2 linked regions of the Oryctolagus cuniculus genome follow. The protein of the gene in region 1 binds, or shares a complex with, the protein of each later gene. Links are inferred from orthologs where the notes say so. Each region holds a gene or a part of one and is shown on either strand. Other genes may lie near its edges.

Region 1 (7,136 bases):
GGCGGGCGGGCGGGCGGGCCGGGGCCGGCGCAGATGATGTGACGGAATATTTGCTATCCGAGCGCGCTGACGACGTCCACACCACCAAGATCGCTGATGCGCCGGCCGGCCGGGGCGGGCGCGGGGCGCGGGCGGGGGCGGGCCGGGCCGGGCCGGGCCGGGCTCACGGCGCTGCCCCCCCAGGACAGGACATCCAGCCCAAGCGGGACCTCACGCGCTTCGTCAAGTGGCCGCGCTACATCCGGCTGCAGCGGCAGCGGGCCATCCTGTACAAGCGGCTGAAGGTGCCGCCCGCCATCAACCAGTTCACGCAGGCGCTGGACCGCCAGACGGGTGCGGGGCGGGGGGCGCGGCGGGGCGGGGCGCTCCCGCGGGGCCGGGGCGGGGGGCGGCGGGCGGCGAGGCTGAACCCCGCGTCCCCGCAGCCACGCAGCTGCTGAAGCTGGCCCACAAGTACCGGCCCGAGACCAAGCAGGAGAAGAAGCAGCGGCTGCTGGCGCGCGCCGAGAAGAAGGCGGCCGGCAAGGGGGACGTGCCCACCAAGCGGCCGCCGGTGCTGCGGGCGGGTGAGCGGGGGGCCGGGCCCACCCAGCGGCCGCCGGTGCTGCGGGGCGGGGGCGGGGCCGGAGCTGGACAGGGGGCAGGAGAGCGGGGCCGGGCCCACGCTGCGCGCTCACGCCCGCGCGTGCTCGGGCTCCAGGCGTGAACACCGTCACGACCCTGGTGGAGAACAAGAAGGCGCAGCTGGTGGTGATCGCGCACGACGTGGACCCCATCGAGGTGGGTGCGGGCAGGGGCGCGGCTGCGGGGAGGGCCCCGCGCGGCTGCGATGACGACACGTCCGCGCTGAGCGCAGCTCTGAAGCGCACACACGAGCTTTTTAACCCTGAGCAGCTGCGGCCGGCGGCCCGGGGCGGGGGTCCGCGGGGGGGCCCCGCTCAGCCGCGCCTCCCCCTCGCAGCTGGTGGTCTTCCTGCCCGCCCTGTGCCGCAAGATGGGGGTCCCCTACTGCATCCTGAAGGGCAAGGCCCGGCTCGGCCGGCTGGTGCACCGGAAGACCTGCACCACCGTGGCCTTCACGCAGGTGAACTCGTAAGTGCCCGCGTCCCCCCAGGCCCCCTCCCCCCAGCCCTGCCCCCGCCAGTGATGGTCGAGAATTTCTTCACCTGAACCAGCCGTGTGGTCAGTGACGTCTGAGGCGCCCGCGCCCAGGCAGAGGCCGCCCTGTGCCCGCGAGTGAAAACCAACCACGTGTCCCCCCCCCCCCCCCCCCCGTGTGTCAGGGAGGACAAAGGGGCCCTGGCGAAGCTGGTGGAGGCCATCAGGACCAACTACAACGACAGATACGACGAGGTGAGCGCCGCAGCGCCCGCCCCTCCCTGTCCAGCCGCGCGGCCGGCCAGGCTGACCGCCCCTGTCCTTGCAGATCCGCCGCCACTGGGGAGGCAACGTCCTGGGGCCCAAGTCCGTGGCTCGCATCGCCAAGCTGGAGAAGGCCAAGGCCAAGGAGCTGGCCACGAAGCTGGGGTGACCGCGGGCTGCTTGTACATAATAAAGCTGGTTTGTCCCAGCCCGTGTCCCTGACTCAGTGACGCGCGGGCACACACACACACACACACACACACGCAGGGCTCAGGTCAGGGCCTTGGTTCACACGGCGGCTTTATTCGGGGGGGGGGGGGTGTGGGGGCAGGGCTGCTACACGCCAGGCGCTCGGTGCAGGAACTTCTTCACCCACAGGTACGCGGTGGCCGCACACAGCCCGTACCTGCAGTGCGACACGAGTGGTCAGCCAGGCCTCTGGCGGCTGGGGCAGGGCGGGGCTGGGCAGGGGGCGCTCACCAGGTCACGATGTACTGCAGGTGCTCGTTCCGCAGGGTGACTCGGGTCTGCCCGCCGATGGGCCCCCCAGGGATGGTGCTCTCTGCAGGAACAGGCACGCTGCTGCCCTGCACCCCCCCCCCACGTGGGCAGACCCGGGCTGGGTGGCCTCAACCTACTGAAGTCCGCGTCAATGAACACGGGCTCCGAGCCCGCGGCCCTGGCCATGGCCTCCAGGTCCCGGTAGTGCCAGTGGTTCCTCTCGGGGTTGTTCTCAGGGACGAAGGGCTTCCTGGTCTCCGTCAGCCTCACCATCCCCACCAGGTCGACCTCGCCCTCCACCTGCAGGGCAGCAAGAGCCGAGTGGGCAGCAGGCCAGGGCCGGGACGACCGAGGAGACCGGGGGAGGGCAGGGCCAGAGCTGTGGCCGCTTACTTGGCCTTTCTGCCGGGTGTCCGGGTTCAGCCTCCTCCGGGGGACGAATCCCCTGTTCACCAGGATGGTGACCCTAGAGGTGGGCGGGGAAGGGTCCTTGAGGAAGATCCGGGTGAAGGTGTCCAGCCTAGACAGACTGGGTGGCCAGCTAGGCGTCCCCAGCCGTCACCAGGGCCTGGGGTGGCCGGAGCCCCCTTCACTTCCGCCTGCCCCCCTGCAGGCACAGCTGGGGCTGCCACGCACCCTCCCCCTTCAGGGAGCTCCAGGCAGTGTAAACCAGGGTTGCTTAGCTGGTGGGGGCCATCGACCTGCACGGCGGGGGCGGGGAAGGAGGCAGGGAATCCCGTGTGCACCTGCCCACTGCTCACCCCAGGTCCGTGCAGTGGAAAGGGGTGACCACGTAGGCCCCGCTCTCGGTGGAGGAGGAGATCCGGCCGGCCTCCCGGGCCTCGCGGGCAGGGTCCACCATGGTCCGCGGCATCATGTACAGTTCCTTGGAGTGGTCAAAGTGGCCCCTGACCTTCACTGGCCTGTACTCCAGGCCTCTCAGTTCCATGGGACTACACGGAGACAGGGGGTGCAGGCTGGCACAGAGCAGCCCGGGCGGCCCGGGAGTGTGGGTCTGCAGCCCAGGCCAGCGTCCTGCACAGCTGATGGACGCACGCTGCGTGCTGATGTGTAACCACGCGGGCGCGCTCTCCAATGACAACGACCCACCCCCCCACCCCCAATCACTGCGCACGGAGAGGAGCCGGTGCCGGGCAGTCCTGTCCACGACCAGCCCAGCAGGGGGCGGCCACACTCACTCGGCCGGCAGCGGGATGGGCTCGGCCATCACTCTGGACTCCAGCTCCTCGATCAGTTTCAGCTTCCACTGGCGGCGCCGGACCTGCCGAGGACACCCGGCCTGAGCCCCAGACCACGGTCGTGCGGCCCGGAGCCGTCCCGCCGGGCCCTCCTCACCTGCCACGTCCCCAGGCCGAAGGACCCCTCCTCACCTGCCACGTCCCCAGGCCGAAGGCAGTCACGGGGATGAGCAGCAGCAGCCACTGCAGGAGGCGGTCGTCCTCTGCTTTGGAGGCCGGCGCGTCCGCCGCGGAGCTGCCGCACCTGCTCGGCCTCCCGGCCGCCCCTGCCGCGGGGTCAGACAGAACCGGGGCGCTAACTCAGGCCAGCGACGCTGCCAGGGACAGCGGGGCGCAGACCTCAACAGCCCTAACCTGTGGGGGTCCAGCAGGCAGCACCCGCGCCCGGCCCACGCACACACCCGGGGCGCGTTTGGTGGCCGGTGCCATGGCCCTGGGTAGCTCCCGGAGCCGCCCCAAGCCTTGCACCCAGAAATGCAGGCCTTCACGCACGCACTCGCCAAGTGGCTTGGCCGGGCCGCGGGCTCCGTGTGCACCCGGGGCGGTGGTACCCAGAGGGCACGCGCGGGGGTGGTGGGTGGTCCCGACGGCGGGCCTGGGGTCGCCGGGCTCCGTGCGCGCTGCGGCGATTGCAGCCGCTGAGCTCACAAACGCACGGCGCCGGCTTCCCGCTTCGGCCAGCAGCGACACCGTCCAGCCGGGTTCCCACGACACCCCCTCGGGGCCGCGCCGAGTCCCCCTCACCTGGGCACGGCAGGACCCCCGGGGCGCTCCTCCAGTAGGCGGTGGCGGGGGCCTGCGGGGACGGGGGGCGGCGGCTGAGCCCCGGGGCCGCTCCCACCCTCCCTCGCCCCGCCCGGCCCCGGCGCCCCGCGCTCACCCGCCCCGCGCACGCCGCGCGCAGCAGCGGCCCCAGGCCCACCGCGCGCAGCCCCAGCCGACTCGCCGCCGCCATCGCACCGGCGGCCTGCGGGAGCTTCCGGGGCGGAGGGCAACTGCTTCCGGGTCGGCCCGCGGCCCGCCCCCCGCACGCGGCGCGCGCCTGCGATGGACGCGCTGCCGGCCGAGGTGCGGGCGTTCCTGTGCGAGCACCCGAGCCTGCGGCTGCTGCCCGGCGCCCGCAAGGTCCGGGAGGCGGGGAGGGCCGGGGCGCGGGCACGGGCGCGGGCGCGGCGGGGGCGCAGGGCGCCGACCTCTGGCCGTCCCGCCGCAGGTGAAGTGCGCGCTGACCGGCCACGAGCTGCCCTGCCGGCTGCCCGAGCTGCAGGTCTACACCCGCGGCAGGAAGTACCAGCGGCTGGCGCGCGCCTCCCCCGCCTTCGACTACGCCGAGTTCGAGCCTCACATCGTGCCCAGCACCAAGAGCCCGTGGGTGGCCCCGGGGCCGGGACGGGAGCGCCCTGCCTGAGCGCGGGGCGGCACAGGGTGGGGGTCGCGGCTGTTTCTGTGAGTGGGCCGGAGGGGAGCGGGTGGTGGCGAAGGCCCGGGCCCGGCTTCCGCTGGCCCGCCTGGGTCGGCGGGTCTGCGCCCGGGCTGCTGGTCGGCGCTGACCGCCCCCTGCCCCGCCCCGCAGGCGCCAGCTGTTCTGCAAGCTCACCCTGCGGCACCTCAACAGGTGCCCCGAGCACGTGCTGAGGCACACCCGCGGCCGCCGCTTCCAGCGAGCCCTGCGCCGGTGTAAGTCGCCCCGCGCCCGGGCGGGAGGACGGCCCGACCCCAGACCCGGTCGGCGTGAGCTTCGGGAGGGCTCCCGGGGGCTCTGGGAGGCCGGAGGGGACAGCGCACCCGGCAGGCAGAGGAGGAGGGGGCCTTGACGGTCTGAGGATGGGGTGGGGGCGCCCAGGACGAGGGGCTGGGGCTGGGGGAGAGCTGCACACGGCGTCAGCTCGCGCTTAGAGCCGTGTTCTGGGAGTGGGGGTTACAGGGCAGCAGGAGAGAGGTCTTCATCTGCTGGTTCACTCCCTAGATGGCCACAATGGCCAGCGCTGGGCAGGCCAGGAGCCTCCTCCGGGTCTCCCACGCGGGCGCAGGGGCCCAGGGACTTGGGCCGTCCCCCACTGCTTTCCCAGGCCACAGCAGAGAGTGGAGCAGCCGGGACTCGAACCGGCGCCCACATGGGATGCGGGCACTGCAGGCGGCGGCTTCGGCCCCAAGTGTGAATGTCTGGTTTCCTGCCGGAGACAGGAAGTGGTGAATTGGGGTTTGCCTTGAATGTGTTAAAGTGGGTGAGGAAGGGCGGCTCTTGGGTGAGGCACCTGGGAGGGCCCAGAGGGGACAGCGCGGTGGCCACGAGGCTTCACGGCGTGGAAGCCGCAGGAAGGGGGTGCGGCCCCCCCCCACTCGGGGCTGGGAGTTACGGGGGGTGTGGCTGTGCCCTCCTGCCCCGGGTGGGCGCAGACTCGGGTTTGGGGCGGGAAGATGAGGACAGGGGCCTGAGGCTGCTGGCGCGGGCCAGACCCCTGGCCTGGCAGGGATCCGAGCCAGGAGAGCTGGCTGTGGGCAGGGCCGGGGGATGTCTCCTGTGAGGCCGCGGTTTTGGTGATGGATTGCGGAGCTGGCCGGGAAGCAGCGAGGCTCCGTGAGGGCGGCCTCGGGGCTGGGCACGGTGGAGACACCTGTGTGGGTTCCTGTAGTGATGGGAGTGGGCGGCCACATCAGAGGCCAGGAGGCAGGGGCCATGGGGACAGTGGGAGGTGGTGGGCCCCATCCTGGGAGCGAGCGGCGTGTGACGGCAGGGTGAGTGCCGACAGCCCAGCTCTCAGAGAAGGCGGGGACAGTGGGCTCAGCAAGGACCCTGCGGCCAGCTGCAGTGAGCCCCCGGCCTGGCCGGCACTGAGCCTCGCTGGGCCCCGCCTGCTCACGGCCGTCCAGCCTGGCGCACGCACGCAGGCGGGGGGCGGGAGGGTAGCGGTGCACGGCCGTGTCTCCCAGATGCAGAGTGCCAGGAGCGAGGCGAGGAGTATGTCCCCGCCTGCCTGCTGCAGCGGCGACGGCGCAGGGACCAGCTGCACGGCGACGGGCCGCCTGCCCCTCAGCACGCCTTCTGGGAGCCCGCGTCCGGGGACGAGGAGGGCGCCGCGAGTGACGACAGCATGACAGACCTGTACCCGCGTGAGTGTCCCTGACCCTCCCGTCCTGGCGGCTGCTCCCCGCGCAGCACTGGGTGAACCACAGCCGGACGTCTGCTTGCAGCCGAGCTGTTCACCAGGAAGGCCCCGGGAGCGACCGAGAGCGGGGACGGTGCCGATGGCGTCCTGACAGATGAAGAGGACGCGAGGCCGGGGCGCCCGGGAGACGGGGAGGAGCCGGGCGCGGCCCAGAAGCCGGCGCCGCAGCACCGGAAGGTGAGCTCTGCGGGTTCTCCAGAGGCCAGCCGACCCCGAGATGTCCCCAGCGCCACGGCCGCGGCTGCTCCGTGGGAGCGGGCATTGGGCCAGGCCTGCCCCTTGGCGTCCACCTTGGGACCACGGCGGCTGGGGCGGGGGTCTCCCTGTGGAGTCGAGCTGCCTGCGAGCTGGCCGTGGGGAGCGGCGGTAACCCCCTCTCTGCTTGCGCTACAGAGGCAGCTGGGCTCCCTAAGGAAGACGACCGGGCGTCCCCGCGGCAAGCCGAAGCGCTTTGGCTCCTGCAAGCAGTCGGGTCCCTGAGGCTGAGCGGCGCTTCGCCGGCCCCCACGCCCGGGAAGCGGCGGGACTCCGAGGGCAGAACCCCGTCTGACTGTGGCTGAGGGTCAGCAGCTCACCGTGGCATCCTGGGGCCCGGCCGGGCTGGACACCACCATAGGATCACAGTGCATACCACAAATGCCATTATTTATTTTGATGTTTTCCAAAAATCAAAACGTTTTCAAACACAACTAAGATATAAAATACAGCATAAAATGAGATTTATACCTATTTCCCACATAAAGCAAAAGTTTTCAGAAATTGTTTTGCCAAAACCAACTAGATCTCTCCTCTCCCGCCAGCGAAGGCGTCCCCCTCGGCTCGGCGTCAGGCCAGAGGACACCGGGAC
Region 2 (7,250 bases), on another chromosome or scaffold:
GGCAGGTGAAATAAACATCCATTAAAGAGGAGGAAAATGTGCATATTCTGATTGGTCAGACATGGAGAATGAGGAAAAGACAGGGGTTTGTTGAGGTGGATTGTTGAGTCTGAAGCAGATCTTAGGCAACCATAAGTAAAACAGAGACAAAATATATTGCTCTGGGGGAAATGAAAGCAGGATGCCAGGGCTCTCGTCAAGTGATTTGGGGATTCAGGGAAGAGAAGCTGAGTGTTGTCATGGGCTTAATATGCCCTGCAAAATGCTTGTGTTGAAGTCCCAACCTCTAAACCCTTAAGTTGTGACTGTATTTGGAGAGACGATCTTAAATGAGATAGTTTTCATTAAAACGAGGTTATTAGTTTGCTCATTGGGGTGGGCCCCAATCCCAAATACCTGGTGTTCTTACCTAAAAAGATCAGGACACTTATACAGAGTGAAGGCACAGAAGGGGCTGGCACAGGGCTGAAGCCGTTGCCTCTGATGCCGCATCCCATACAGGTGCTATTTCAAGTCCCAATTGCTTCAATGCCAATCTGACTCCCTACTAATGGCCTGAGAAAGCAGTGGAGGATGAACCTAGTGTTTGGGTCCCTGTCACCCTCAAGGGAGACAGGAATGAAGCTCCTGGCTTCGTCCTGGTCCATCACTGGCAGTGGTGGCCATGTAGGGAGTAAAACAGCAGATGGAAGACCTCTCTCTGTGTGTAACTCTGACTTTAAAGATAAACAACAAATAAATCTTAAAGCAAAAATGCACACACAGGGAAATGCAAGTCGAGGAGAGAAGCCTCAGAAGAAACCGATCCTGCTGAGACCTGGATCTCAGATTGTGGGAAAGTAAGTTTCTGTCGTGTAAGCCATCCAGACTGGGAGACTTCTTCATGGTGACCTCCACAGAGTTGAGTCCATTCAAGTCAGAGAAGGCACAGGCTGTGGGGACTGGGTGCTAAATTATGTTGCCCAGAAAACAGGGCCACCAGGGACTCATGGTTACTGTTCTTCCAGGCTGGTAGGGATGGAGCTTCTAATAGTCTTGCAAATTTGATTCTCAGTGGCTCAAAGAGAGGGCTGCGCAGATTTACACGTGGAAAGCCTTTACTTCAGAACTGGGCAGTTAGAAGCAAGCAGGGGCTGGCTCACCACTTCAATTTCAAAAAATAAGCATACTGCATCAGTCAAGACTGAGCTGACAACCAATTAAGATGATGGTTTCTGCTTGAACATGCCTCCATATTAGATTAAGCAAAATACAGAGGGCTGGCGTTGTGGCACAGTAGGCTAAGCCTCCGCCTGCGGTGCCAGCATCCCATATGGGAGCCAGTTCGAGTCCCGGCAGCTCCTCTTCCAATCCAGCTCTGCTATGGTCCAAGTGCTTGGGCCCCTGCACCTGCGTGGGAGACCTGAAGAAGCTCCTAGCCTCAGATCTGCTCAACTCCAGCCTTTGCAGCCATCTGGGGAGTAAGCCAGCAGATGGAAGCCCTCTCTCTGTCTCTCCCTCTGTGTGTAATTCTACCTCTCAAATCTCAAATAAAATCCTTTTTTTTAAAGAAAAATATAGGGAGACACACATTCTCTCTCTCTCTCTCTCTCTCTCTCTCTCTCTCGTGTGTGTGTACTTTGAATGTCCACTCTACATTCTGAGCACTTCTTTTTGCCTCCACAGGCTGTAAGCATGGTTCAACCTTTGCCACTCTCCCCAGGTAACTGCATTTTCTTCCTCATTGCTGTCTGTCTCGGTATTGCCCCATAATGAGCCACAAGGGCAGCTCATTCTAGACATGAATGGGCACACTGCCATGATGTTCTCATTTGTATGAGGAAAGGAATCACCTAGAAATCCTCTGAACGGCCTGCGCTAGTCTCCCAAGCCCCATCAGGACGCACAGATTCCTCTTTGCAATTACTCTCTCACCTACCCCTTTGTTTTACATTTCCACACATGCCAGCTCAGCCATTTTTCAGCTCCTGCCCAGACTAACGCAGTCGTGCCCCTGAGTGACTGCCTGCAGACCTCTTGGCTCTCTCCTCTCCACCTGCACCCATCCTGCACCATACTTTCATAAAACAGCCTTATAAAACTTTTACCAAATCCTGTCTTTCAGCTCGATCAGCCGGGTCTTTACACCCCACCTCTTCCTCAAGAAGGTTCGTCTTTGCCTTCCGAATTGGGTCTAAGCACATTTACACAGCATGCAAGAAAAGGACCCGATGTCCTGCCTGGCTGTAGGAAGCGCTAATTCTTCACCTTGGCACCTCAAGCTGCAGCTGTAATCGGGGCCCTAATGCCCAGCTAGGCCCTTAAACGGAAGACCTGCTGAGCCGAGACCCACTTTCCCAGCCCGGCTCCAGGGCTCCGCTCTTCTGCCAACTGACCAGGCGGAAGCAGCAGCAGGGGAGGAGGGACCGCAGGTAGGAGGGGAGGGGATCGTTTTGAAAGCCCTGAATCCCTTGCAGGGAAGAGGCAGCTGCTCCTTGTTTTTCTAAACATCTGTCCCATCTGCCCCCAGCCGCAGGAGCCTCGAGCAGGTTCAAGGTGGACTGGAGAGGCAGGCGCCCCGCGAAGGTTGCGTGGGAGCCGGGGCAGCTGAGCCTGCGTGGCCGCCGCCCCCGCCCCACTCCCGAAAATTCCTTCTGTGAAGAGCGGTAGGGGGAGTCTAGGGAGGACAGGCCGAATGCACGGAGTCGGTTTGAAACGATCCCCCGCCCCCAAAATGCTATGTCACAAAACCGAGGGACCCCTAGCTCTTATTATCGAGCGCCCCAGGCCGCGGATGTGGGGGAGAAACCGTGACAGCACGCTACCTCCGCATTTCACAGCGCTCCCCTGCAGGCACTGCCCCCCACCCCCACCCCCGGAGAAGGACCCTGTTTTTATTGTTATTTCCCCCTAGGACGCAGAACCCCGTCTGCAGCCTGGCTGGCGTGCAGTTTATGAATGAATGAAAAAACGAGATGATTCAGCCGGTTCGCAGATACAGCGTGGGAGGCTCGGGCTTAGAAAGCGGTGGCCAAAGGGAGCGCTGTCAGCAAACCCCCTAAACCCAGCTCCAGCCCACGCGGCTATCCCCGGGTGCTCGCTCAGGCCAAACGGAGGCTGCGCGCGCCCCGAAGCGCCCGCCCCCACGGCGCACGCGCAGCCACGCCCCCTCCCCGGGTCGCTCCCGCGGGGAGTCGGCTTCCACCCTAGTTACCGGGTTGTGGGCGGGGCCAAGGCGGCGCAGGCGTAACGGGCAGCGGAAGTAGGAAGTAGCGGACGCGATAAAAGGGCTCGTGGGGTCCTCGCTAAGGGCATTGCGCTCCTCCCCCGCTGCGTGTGTCGCCCCTCCTCTCTCCATCCTGGGGCTCCGGTCGCGGGACCCTCCGGGCGGCCGCACGTGTTGTCAGGCGCGGGCTCCTCCCCTCTCCGCCCCCTTCCCCGGAGCCTCGGCGCCGCGCGTTCCCTGCCCGCCGCGATGGCGCTCGACCCCGCAGGTACGGGGGTTGATGCGTGGTTTGCAGCGGGACGCCGGGCTGGTGCCGCGGGCGTCCGGGCTGGGCAAGGTCCGATCTGAGGTCGCGCCGCTTTCGCACACTGCCTTCACCGCCGGCTCCTGCCGTGGGGTTCGCAGCCGGCCCTGGTTGCTTCTCTCGGGCGAGGTTAGGGTTAGGTGAGGGGCTCTGGGTTTTGTTGTTGGAACTGTGGTCCGTTTGCGGCAAACAGACTTTTCCCTCCTCGGCTCAGACGGCTTTCTTCGTCGTCATTTTCGCTCCTTAGGGCCCAGACTAGACATTGGATGGTGTAGGCACCTTTGACCCAGCAACATTTCGTACTGGAGCCGGAGCTCGAGTTCACGTTGTCTTTGGGAATTCCCGGACCCCCGGCTCGTCCTCAGACACGGCGGTTCGAGGGTCCATTCCTGTGGCGAGTCGTCTCTCGGGGAAGGGGTCCCCAGGCTCTGAAATGTTCTGACTGTCGTGATTCCTCCTGCTTGCCTTTGCTGCAGAGTTCTGTTACTCTAAGGCGCCTCCTCGCAGAACCACACCTGCGTCTTGGGCGTTGAGGCAGTTTATGCAAGGGTGTAGATACAGAAGCCTCCTGGGGGGACGGTGATTGATCTGCCCACTCCTTTTTGTTGTTGTTGTTGTTGCTGTTAAAGATTTATTTTACTTATTTGAAATAATTACAGAGGGAGCTAGAGACAGAGGTCTCCCATCTGCTGGTTCACTCCCCCAGTGGCCGCAAACGCCAGAGCTGAGCCCATCAGGAGCCAGGAGCTTCTTCCCGGTCTCCCATGCGGGTGCAGGGGTCCAAGCACTCGGGCCGTCTTCCACTGCTTTCCTAGGAGCATTAGTAGGGAGCTGGATCAGAAGTTGAGCAGCCGGGACTGGAACCTGTGCCCTTATGAGATGCCAGCACTGCATGCTGGGCCTTTAACCTGAGCCCCGCCACCCCCCTTTCCCAATTCCTTTCATTTTATAAATACAAAGCCTCAAGGTGTTGGATGGTGATATGGCTCCAAACCATTTGGAGATTCCGAAGTGGAAAAGACACTTTTGGGACCCCCAGAGGACAAAATACACGCATAGTGTTCATTGAACCACTTTTTAAAATCAAGCTAAGTAGTCTCAATGACCTTTGATTTCTTTTACATATGAGGAAACGGAGGCACAGAGGTTAATGGTAGTGGTGGAGTTGGTAGAAGTGCAAAGGAATTCCACAGTGCATAATGATCAGACCAGTTTGTGGTTCAGCGATTGGGTCAGAATTCATGGAGCAATGAAACGGCGGATCTGGGCTTTGAAGAGTAGGATTTCCAGAGGTTGGAGTATCCTGTGTCAGGTATGTAGATACGCTGATGAAAAACCAACATAGGACTCATGAGTGACTATTTTTTCAATGGTTTATACTTGTTACTGCACATAATTTTTTTAAAAGATTTATTTATTTGAAAGTCAGACTTAACACAGAGAGAAGAGGCAGAGAGAGAGGTCTTCCATCTGATGATTCACTCTCCAGTTGGCCGCAAAGGCTGGAGCTGTGCAGATCTGAAGCCAGGAGCTTCTTCCAGATCTCCCATGCAGGTGCAGGGGCCCAAGCACTTGGGCCATCTTCTGCTGCTTTCCCAGGCCATAGCAGAGAGCTGGATTGGCAGTGGAGCAGCCGGGTCTCAAACTAGTGCCCATATGGGATGTGGGCGCTTCAGGCCAGGGCGTTAACCCACTACACCACAGCGCTGGCCCCGACCTAATTATTTTTGTTTTCAAACTATTTACAATTTGGCCAGCGAATTTCTTTATCTAGCTTCTGGAGCTTTGGGGGTAGTTTCCCATTTTGGGGAGCATTTTTTCTTTCTTCACATAGGATGTCACTGGCTTGCCACTTGGCCCGTTTTCTGAGACGTCCTGGTTCTTTTTATTTTGGTGTACTATTGCAGAACAATATCTGGTCACTCCGTGTGGGTTCCTCTTTTGTGTTTTACATTTGAGTGATTCATTAATGGAGTGCCCTTAGGGGGAAAAGCAAGGGAGTAAGGCGAACAGGAGAGTGAAGGGTTAGGATGTGGTTTCAGGGAAGGCTGTTGCATTAGTCAGCTTTTTGTTCACTACAACTACTTATCAAAGGTGAGCTACCTGTGAAGGAAGGCTTATTGTAGGGCCTCACAGTTTTGAAGGTTCACAGTCTAAAATAGGGCAAGTCCCTCTGGTTCAGCTAACTGGTGAGGCTGGGAGAGGGTTAGTGGAGTGCGAGGGGAGGAACAATCATGTGGTGATCCAGGGGGCAGAGGGAGACTGAGCCAAGCTCAGCTTTTATAAAGACCCTCCTGAGAGGGCTGTCTTTTGAGGCATGACCCGGATACCTCACATAGGTGACAGAATCCCAAGGACTTGAGCTGTGATACTTGTTGCCTTCCAGAGTGCAATTAGCAGGAAACTGGATTGGAAGTGGAGCTAGGATTCTAACCCAGGCACTCTAATGTGGAATGCAGGTGTCCAAAGATGTGGCTTAACAAGGTAGCTACCCAGGAGCCAAGTCTTACTCAAAATGTAGCAGCTGGTCTTAGCTAGTTAGTTCTGGTGCACCCACAAAGTACAAAGTCTGTCCTGTCTCATGGGCAACGGAGCTGAGCTTTATGCCCTCTGTCAGCCGCTGGTTACCTGTAGGAGCTGGAAGCAGGGGAAACTGTAAAAGATTACCATTGCCCAAGGGCAGTCCTGAGAAGGTTGCAGATGTGAGTGCTCCAGCATTCCCTGTCACAGGAAGATCAGCTTGATCCAAAAAACAAGTTGTCTGACTCTACTGGGAACCTTAGTTTGCACAGTGAGTTCAGGTAGTGTTGAGTCAGATAGGAAAGGGTCCTTGCACACATGTATGCACATACACAGGCGTGTGTCCCATCTCCGTTAAATTATTGAGAGGTTATGGTCAGAACATTTGAATAACATTGGTTTAAGATATACCTACAATAACCCTATCAGTGCGTTTTTTTTTTTAATACTAAGCACATGCTATTCCTTTTCTCTAAACTTTCCCTCTCTCCCTCATCCCCAAATCTAATGCTTGCTCATTTTTTACAATTCATTTTAAAGTCAGTTTCTTAGGAGACTTTCCCTAATTATAACCATCCTCAAGTCTTCAAAAAAATTTTAATATTTAAGATTTTAAAAACTCACCAAAATATCATACAATCTGTTTATATTGTTTCTTTTATTCTAGACCTAAGTTTTTTTCCTTGAAAAATACACAGTGGGTTAAGCCAGCACTTGGGATGCCTGCATCCCATATTGAAATGATGATTTTTGTCCTGGTTGCTCCACTTCCCATTCAGCTCTCTACCTGAGAAGCAGTGGATGATGGTTTAGATCCTTGGGTCCCTGCCACCCACAAGGGAGACCTGCATGGAATTCTTGGCTCCTGGCTTCAGCCTAGTACAGCCCCAGCTGTTGTGACCATTTGAGGGAGTGAACGGTCACATGGAAGATAAATCCCTCTGTCTTGTATCACTCTGCCTTTCAAATAAATATATCTTTAAGACATAAATAAAATGAAACCTATAGATGGTATGTGTCTCTTTAACAGTTTGAGATGAAAACTGTAATCTTGAGAAAGGCAGTGTCCTGCCTGTGTAGTATACAGTAAATATTTTTTTCAGCGGATTTCACCATCTCTTCAATTAGAGGCTAGATGACCAGAAAGGACAGGCCAGTTAATTTTCTCTTGGCGGTAGGGACTCACTTGCCTACCAGCAGGGAGGCTGCTGGGAATAAACA

Evidence for each region.
Region 2: SURF1 (region 1) and CMC1 share a complex: the UniProt entries of both Homo sapiens proteins name them as parts of the MITRAC (mitochondrial translation regulation assembly intermediate of cytochrome c oxidase complex) complex. The link is inferred for Oryctolagus cuniculus from reciprocal best matches to the Homo sapiens genes SURF1 and CMC1.

The regions. Positions count from the first base shown.
Region 1 is NC_091432.1:235,374,250-235,381,385, forward strand, and holds SURF1 (surfeit locus protein 1), read right to left. Parts: upstream 4,091-7,136; 5' UTR 4,078-4,090; coding exon 4,003-4,077; intron 3,919-4,002; coding exon 3,867-3,918; intron 3,389-3,866; coding exon 3,255-3,388; exon of another isoform or gene 3,220-3,254; intron 3,146-3,219; coding exon 3,063-3,145; intron 2,817-3,062; coding exon 2,625-2,816; intron 2,330-2,624; coding exon 2,257-2,329; intron 2,164-2,256; coding exon 2,001-2,163; intron 1,925-2,000; coding exon 1,843-1,924; intron 1,769-1,842; coding exon 1,699-1,768; 3' UTR 1,645-1,698; downstream 1-1,644. Other genes in the region: RPL7A (large ribosomal subunit protein eL8), read left to right, coding at 184-333, 426-566, 701-780, 962-1,092, 1,284-1,353, 1,427-1,531; SURF2 (surfeit locus protein 2), read left to right, coding at 4,170-4,247, 4,336-4,490, 4,696-4,799, 6,054-6,233, 6,315-6,466, 6,683-6,769. UniProt on the Homo sapiens protein: Component of the MITRAC (mitochondrial translation regulation assembly intermediate of cytochrome c oxidase complex) complex, that regulates cytochrome c oxidase assembly.
Region 2 is NC_091435.1:164,607,612-164,614,861, forward strand, and holds the start of CMC1 (COX assembly mitochondrial protein homolog), read left to right. Parts: upstream 1-3,194; 5' UTR 3,195-3,454; coding exon 3,455-3,473; intron 3,474-4,638; exon of another isoform or gene 4,639-4,821; intron 4,822-7,250. UniProt on the Homo sapiens protein: Component of the MITRAC (mitochondrial translation regulation assembly intermediate of cytochrome c oxidase complex) complex, that regulates cytochrome c oxidase assembly.